2 linked regions of the Nothobranchius furzeri genome follow. The protein of the gene in region 1 purifies or fractionates together with the protein of each later gene. This does not show direct contact. Links are inferred from orthologs where the notes say so. Each region holds a gene or a part of one and is shown on either strand. Other genes may lie near its edges. The genes, in order: sost and lrp5.

What was found.
Region 2: the proteins of sost (region 1) and lrp5 purify together in Homo sapiens (affinity purification with mass spectrometry; 3 studies listed by BioGRID and IntAct, counting the BioPlex papers as one, with this or other methods). This does not show direct contact. The link is inferred for Nothobranchius furzeri from reciprocal best matches to the Homo sapiens genes SOST and LRP5.

Annotation. Positions count from the first base shown.
Region 1 is NC_091756.1:48,613,798-48,618,131, forward strand, and holds the start of sost (sclerostin), read left to right. Parts: upstream 1-1,291; 5' UTR 1,292-1,443; coding exon 1,444-1,687; intron 1,688-4,043; coding exon 4,044-4,334. UniProt on the Homo sapiens protein: Negative regulator of bone growth that acts through inhibition of Wnt signaling and bone formation.
Region 2 is NC_091754.1:40,308,386-40,312,208, reverse strand, and holds part of lrp5 (low-density lipoprotein receptor-related protein 5), read left to right. Parts: intron 1-2,486; coding exon 2,487-2,575; intron 2,576-2,856; coding exon 2,857-3,075; intron 3,076-3,203; coding exon 3,204-3,292; intron 3,293-3,603; coding exon 3,604-3,775; intron 3,776-3,823. UniProt on the Homo sapiens protein: Acts as a coreceptor with members of the frizzled family of seven-transmembrane spanning receptors to transduce signal by Wnt proteins.

The sequences.
Region 1 (4,334 bases):
TTTTTTAAGTCAGCCTGATTCAGTGGAAGTCCTTGGCTAACATCCATCCATCCATTTTCAGCCGCTTATCCGGGCTCGGGTCGCAGGGGCAGCAGTCCAGGGAGGCCCGGACTTCCCTCTCCCCAGCCACTTGGACCAGCTCCTGTGGGGAATTCTAAAGTGGTCAGCTGAGAGACAAAGTTCCTCCAATGTGTCCTGGGTCTTCCCTGAGGCCTTCCCCCAGTTGGAGGTGCCCGGAAAACCTCACTAGGGAGGTGTCCAGGAGGCATCCTAACTAGATGCTCCTGTCAATGTGGAGGAGTAGTGTGTCTACTCCGAAACCCTCCCAGATGAGTTTCTCACCTTGTCTCTAAGGGAGAGCCCAGCCACCCTGCAGAAAAAACTCATTTTGGCCGCTTGTATCCGTGATCTCGTTCTTTAGGTCACTACCCAAAGCTAAACTCAGTTTTTAACATTTTTTTCAACAACACAATACTTTGACATGACACATGACAGCGCAGCACACTAAAACAGTTAATCATTTACATCAAAGCAGGATCTTCACCTGCAGATTTCTAACTGGACGTGTACATTCAGTTTCATCCTAATTTTAAATGACCAAACGCAGAAGCTACTCTAGTCTAAGATGTCTGAAACTCACACCAAGACAAGAGTGAAAAATCTTTAGAAGGCATTCTTATCGGACAGTTTGCACCTGAGGAATAACACCTACGTATGACTTGCACAGGGACTATGGTCACTCTGAGAGTAAAGAGAGTTCCAAAGGAAGAAGACAAACCACGGGTTATGGCTTTATGAAGCATATCAAGCAGCAGTTATAGCTTACGTACAAGCTGCAGTGGAATCAGGTGTTCACCTTAAAGCTGATCTTTGGAAGATACATTTGCAGGCTTTATAAAATGTTGTACAATCAAGTGTTTGGTAGCTAGGAGTCATCCCATCACACATTCAGTTTAACAGTTTAAACACAACTTCTATTTTTATCTGTAAAAAACGGTTTTTGATCTTTTGAATGAAAGGAAGTGGGTGATATTCAGAATGCTGACTCATCCTTTCTTCATCTCCTCTGACCTTTAACCCACCTAAAAAAATATCTCCTCTCATCCCTATCCTTTCTCTTTTCTATTTTTACTCACTCAGATCCAAGCCCCCCCCCCCACCCCCCCACCCCACCCCCCTTTGCTCCCTCTCCTGCCTTTTCAATGAAAGCGGGCTCAACCCCTCCCACCTCTGACTGAGCGTTTAATTGCACGCTGCAGACGGCATCTTGCTTCAATAAGGCGCGCGCACTGGTAGTGGACGTAACCAACTTTTACGAGTGACCAAGTATCTCCTGTGTGAGTGAGTGTGAGTGAGTGTGAGTGTGTGTGTGTGTGTGCATGTGTGTATGTGTTTAAAGAATAAAGTCGCTCCTCTGGTTTGGTTTATTCGTGCCTGACCAGCATGCAGGTGTCTGTGGCCCTCCTGGTCTCCAGCTCGCTGCTGCTGCTGCTGCTGCTGCAGGGATGCTGCACGGCCGCGAAGGGATGGAAGGTTCTGAAAAACGGTGCCACGGAGATTTTACCGGACTATCGAGAAAACACCCGGACACCTCAACAGGCGGTTCTCCAGACCCCAAACGGAAACAACACGATGAATAACAACAGGGCGAAAGGCGGAGGGAGAAATTCCAACACTGTCTCTTACAGTAAGTGTCAGTTAATTGTCCATTCAATATTTAATTATACAACAAAAGGTGGAAAATGCTGGAAAAGTGCAGGATTATGATCAATTTGTGGAGCTGTGCGTAAAGCATTAAAAGTACTGCTGTTTCAAATTGCGTAAACGCATTTATAATAATAATAATAATAATAATAATAATAATAATAATAATAATAATAATAATAATAACAATAAAGTTCAGTCACTAAACTGATAAAAAATGCATTAATTTTAATAATTACCCCTTTTCCCAACACAATGACTCAATTTATGGTCCAAATATCTCATTTCAGCTCAGAAGACTGCAGGCTCTGTTGTTTTGAAAAGCAAAGACCTGAAAGAGATAATTATGTTGAATAAATCAGGGCTGCTTTGTGAATTTGTGTTCACAGTTCCACATTTCTGCCTGATTTTCACACCACTCTGCTGATTATCAGCCGCTCTGCTGCGTGGAGAGGGATGAGGGTGATGAGAGCGGCTCAGACTCACATTCTTGTGGTTTCTTCCTCAACATTCTGAACCCAAGCGCTCAGAAAGACATCAGGGCTTTTTGTACATTGTCTTCCAGGTTGTTTCCTTTTCTCTTTATGCTATTAGTCAAGCTCTACTTGCTTCGTAACCATTTGATTGCAACAGCATGTCTCCTAAACAGAAAACCCCCTAGTCTGCTCTTCAGCATGGATGTCTATGGGAAGGTGGGGGCTAGAAATAGCTTTTATAAATGCAACGCTGCCTTTGAGAATGATTCCCACCTGGGTTGTAGGTTCTGACTGAACAGCGCATGCAGGGCAGTCTCATGCTCGTGGACTCTGCATGGGTGGTGCAATGGCTTTTGCTTATTTGAGGCCTTTTGATTTGGACTTTAGAGAAGGTGACTGATTAGATTAAAGGAACAGCTGATAAGGGAATTAATGGGCTTAATGTCAGTTATTCTGAAGGATTCTTATCCAAGGATGTGTAATGAGATGCAGATGTGTAAATCTAAAGAATAGTATTCAGATTATTTGTTAGTATCCAAAAGAGGGTTGCTTGTTTTTATAGTAAATACACAGAAAACGTCCCGGAGGGACAGATAATCCCTCCTGGGTCCGTTTTATCACTTGGGCTGAGTCCTGGGATGACCTCTCATGGTTCTGTTTGGGGTTACAGCTGAGACTTTGACCAATTCCTGGCTTTCCTCCAAATCTCCCCAAAGGCTTTTCTCTAAGTCCAGATGGAAATGAACAAGTCACGCAATTGTCCAGCAGGATATCATTCCTCTTAGATAGGAGAACGGGAACTGTCAGTGACTCGATGCAACCTGCTGGGTTCCTTATTTAGGAAACTTTTTACTGATTAGCTTAATGAACTGACCTGTATTGGAATGTTTACTGTGTGAAGAGCCTTGAGACGACTAGTTGTGATTTGGCGCTATAAACTTGAATATACTTGAATTAAATTGAACTGTAGTAGAAAAAAATGAAACACACATCCAACAAAAAAAGCTAACAGTTTTGGATATTTGGTGCAAACCGCTGCAAACTGGGTGCTGTAGGTGGTATAAACAATGTGGACTCTTCAGCAGCAGCACCAGAATAACACCGGGTCAGGTTCTCCCAGTGAGAAAAAAAGGAGAGAAGTCATCCACATAAATCCTTTGTTCAGTTCTTTTATTTAACCTAGAAAGCCACAGAGGGAAACAGATCCCTCTCCGAGTGTATCGCTTCTACACCAACGGCTCTTCTCGTCTTGTAAAAAACACGTGAGAGTAACTCATGCATGTGGCTCTTAAAAAGCTCCATCTTATTACAAACAGCGTTCTTCAAACTTGTCCAGTTGCAGCGCTGCCTTAAAACAACCAGACAGCTATTTACTCCTCCACCACCACATGCGTTTCCTGAGGGTCGGGACTGAGTGCCAGCTTTTCCTCCATCCCAGACCCACATTGGGTTGGATTGAGCTGTTTAATGGCCTTCTGGTCTGGATTTTCTATCAGCTTATTGTTGCCAGCTGTTTTGTGTGTGTGTGTGTGTGTGTGTGTGTGTGTTGTCAGCCAACGATCGGACCATGAGTCAGGTCTGCTCTGATATTATTACCTTAAACCTCCACTTAATTGAACAATTTGCTGTTTTTTTGATGAATTTATTGATGGATTTTTATGTTTTATACTGGTTGGACATAAATTCAGCTTCCAGCTTGGATTTTTTCCCTTATTTCCACACTAATATGATGACGTGAGAGAAATCACTGGAAAGAAGGAGCAGCTGCTGCAGCGAAGTGGTTAAAACTGTAGAATCCTCCACAGTGTTTGTTTTGGGTTTGGTCCACGTGTGCTGACTGTGATATCCCGTTTTTCCACCCAGGTGCCTCGGAGATGAGCTGCAGGGAGCTGCGTTCCACCCGTTACATCACTGATGGATCCTGCCGCAGTGCCAAACCTGTCAGAGAGCTGGTCTGCTCTGGTCAGTGCCTCCCCAGCCACCTCATGCCCAACACCATCGTCCGTGGGAAGTGGTGGCGGAGCAGCGCTTCTGACTACCGCTGCATCCCGGCGCACTCACGGACGCGGAGGGTCCAGCTGCAGTGTTCGAATGGCAATGCTCGGACTTATAAAATCCGGGTGGTCACATCCTGCAAGTGCAAGCGATTCAGGC
Region 2 (3,823 bases), on another chromosome or scaffold:
CGTGGGCAGGACACCGTCTCTATGGGGTAGTGGGTGGGTAACAGTACAGAAGCTGCAGAGGGGTGTGTTAAACTACGACTCTGCTTCCTGGTCTGGACCCTGGGTAGTCATGGAGGACTAATAAAACTGGCCATGTTCCTAGAAAGAAGAGCTGCACCATTCAAAGAGGGATGGATGCCGTCTCTCCGCATCAGACCAGGTTTTCCCCAAAAAGTTTTCCAATTATCAATGTAGCCCACGTTGTTTTCAGGACACCACCTAGACAACCAGCGGTTGAAGGACAGCATGCGGCTAAACATGTTGTCACTGGTCCGATCAGGCAGGGGGCCAGAGAAAATTACGGAGTCCAACATTGTTTTGGCAAACTTGCACACCGAAGCAACATTAATTTTAGTGACCTCCGATTGGCGTAACCGGGTGTCGTTACCGCCAGCGTGAATAACAATCTTACTGTATTTACACTTATCCTTAGCCAGCAGTTTCAGATAAGATTTAATGTCGCCCGCTCTGGCCCCAGGTAAACATTTAACTATGGTTGCTGGAGCCTCTAATGCCACGTTTCTGACTATGGAGCTGCCAATGATCAGAGTCGGCTTGTCAGTGGGTGCGTCACTGAGCGGGGAAAATCTATTAGAAACGTGGACGGGTTGGTGGTGGCCCACGGGCTGGGTTCTATGCTTCCTGCATACCGTCACCCAGCCGGCCTGAGGTCCCGGCTGTTCGGGTTCTGCTGGAGGATCGCTACGGGGTGGTTCTGAGCTAGTCAGCCCCGCGCTAGCGAAGTAGCTACTGCTGTTTACGGGTTTTTCAACAGCGCGGAGCCGGGACTCCAATTCCGACACCCTTGCCTCCAAAGCTACAAAAATGCTACAGTTATTACACTTACCATTATCGCTAAAGGAGGCAGAGGAGTAACTAATCATCTGACACAGAGAGCAAGAGATAGGAGACGGAGAAGCAGAGACAGAAGTAGCCATAGCCGTGCTGAGGCTAAGCTAACTGGACGAGCAAACTGTTCAACACCAAATAAACTGCATGCAAACTCAAATGGTTCCCTAAAAGCTAGGTGGAACAACAGAAAATGTGTGTTTTAACGTGCTTATGTGCTACAATAACTCAGAGATATCCTAGTACAGAGAAATTAAATCAGTTTTAGCGAGCCCCAAACACCAAACAGCTACACGTAGTGCAACACTGAAAACAGGAAACGCCTTACCGCCAGGTGCAGCCAATCAGCCCATTTTAAATCTTGAAGTGTCCTTCATCTCGACTTAGCTGGGGAAGTTTGACCTTTGGGTCACAAATGAGGCCATTCATGTCGCTACACAAGTTACAAATCAAGAGTTACACACACACACACAAATCTAGAGAGACACACACACATCTTTTGAGACTTTTTTCTCACCATAGATCGGCCACCACAGGGACCAGACCTTAACTCTATTGAGAATCTTTGGGATGTGCTAGAGAAGTCTTTGCAAGATGTTGGTGAAACATTAATGCAACGCTGGGTGGAAATAAATCTGGTGACATTGCAGAAGCTTATTGAAACAACTCTACAGAGTATGTGTGTCGCAATCAAAGATAACATGTTAGTGTGTGTGACCTTTTTTGGGTGGCAACTGTTTTGGCCAGGCAGTGTGTTTTATTAAAACAGAAAACTGAAAAGTGAGATGCTCCACTGTGCAGAGCAACCCTTCTGTAGGGAGCGTCGGGTCAGCAGAGGATCAGTTTAGCACTCCTCTTCAGTCTGTGTGAATGAGTCCTCACTGCAGATGTCACAAACACTGAAATACCCTCAAAACACACAAGTTCCAAAAAGTCCAAAATCCAAAGCTGTGATCTATATTCAACCTGGGTCATAAACAGGAATTCCATAGGGGAGGTATAAATCAGGAGCTGGGAAAGCAGAGCAAAGGCCGAAGTCCACAGATCAGATGGGCAGAAAAGATACATCAAGGGCCTAGCAGAGCAGGAAAACCCGGGGCTTAAATGTGGTAGTAGACTGGAATCAAATCAGTAAAAGAATGTTGCAGGGAGGCGGCAACTGAAGCTATAAATAGTGCGGTGTGCAGGTGATGCAGATGCAGGCATGACACAGGTGTGTGTGCGTGTGTGTGTGTGTGCGTGTGTGTGTGTGTGTGTGCGTTTGGGGGTGGGGGTGGGGCGTTACTGATAAAGCAGGGAGAACCATGACACAAATAAAATAACAACAGAGGTGGGCAAAAAAGGCAGGAATGATTTACTGGATTTGTTGGGAGCAGGGGTGGTTGTGGTTTCTGAAAGGACCTAGGATAACGCTCCTTCATGCACTCAGGATGCTGCAGTCAGCCTCTCAAGGAGCTCTCCGGCTCTACATCAGCTTCGTACATGGGGTGGGAGACATCTAACAATGATGCTGTTTTTACTATCCCAGGGATGTTGATGGTTCATCCTAAAGATCCACACAAGTGTTATCACTGGTAAAATGTCTGTGTGTGCTTTAGGGGCAGAGGAGGTTTTGTTGCTGGCTCGCCGGACAGACCTGAGGAGAATCTCACTTGATTTGCCAGATTTCACTGACATACTATTGGAGGTAAACACACACACACACACACACACATACGCGCGCACACACACGCACACACTCACACACATGCGTACACACACTCACACACACACATGCACCGACACACACACACACACACACACACACACACACACACACACACACACACACACACACACGCTTACACTCACACACACACACACACACACACACACACACACACACACACACACACACACACACACACACACACACAATATTTTTATTCCTGTCTAAACTTGACCTAGTCTGTTCCTTTACTCATACAGGTTAATGACATCCGCCATGCCATTGCAATTGACTACGACCCAGTTGAAGGTCTTGTGTACTGGACAGATGATGAAGTTCAGGCTATCCGGCGTTCCCACATTGATGGAAGGAATGCCGTGGTGCTGGTCTCCACAGAACTCAAACACCCAGATGGGATTGCTGTTGACTGGGTGGCCAGAAACCTGTACTGGACAGACACTGGCACTGATCGGATTGAGGTACAGACTGTCATGTCAGTAACTGAACAGAGAAAAGAGCCACTGTTCATTAGAATAGTATAAAAAAGTGTTTGTCTGAACTCTAAAAGCACTGACTTTCACCATAATGATGTCACCTTATGTAATAGGTCACCAGGCTAAATGGAACGTCTCGTAAGATTCTGATTTCTGAGAACCTGGATGAGCCCAGAGCTATAGTGCTGGATCCTGTGAATGGGTATGGTTTCTGTGTCTTTGAACACATACAATGCCACAGCTGTCACTCTGACATGTTTCTGAGAATGTGTTTTTTATCCTGCTTGGTTGAGTTTCCAAACTCAAAAACACTTATTACAGTTCAGACTCGAGCGACCTTCAGGGATGAGCTTTAGTGTCTTGTTGCTAGGTGCAGGCGTTACCTTTTGTAGAAATGGAATTAATGGTTTCATAATTAAAAAATGCTCACTTGCATCACTAATAGATAGTTGTGGTTAACAGAATCTCTAAAATTGAGAATTCTACTTTCTTTTTGATTCATCATCCACACAGTTACATGTACTGGACCGACTGGGGTGAGCATCCCAAGATCGAGCGTGCAAACCTGGATGGAACCGACAGGGTGGTCCTTCTCAACACCTCACTGGGCTGGCCCAATGGGCTAGCTCTGGACAACGCTGCAGGGAAACTTTACTGGGGTGACGCTAAAACCGACAAGATAGAGGTACGCCTTTCGCCATTCTGTGTAAAGTCAGAGTTTGGCTTCTTTGAG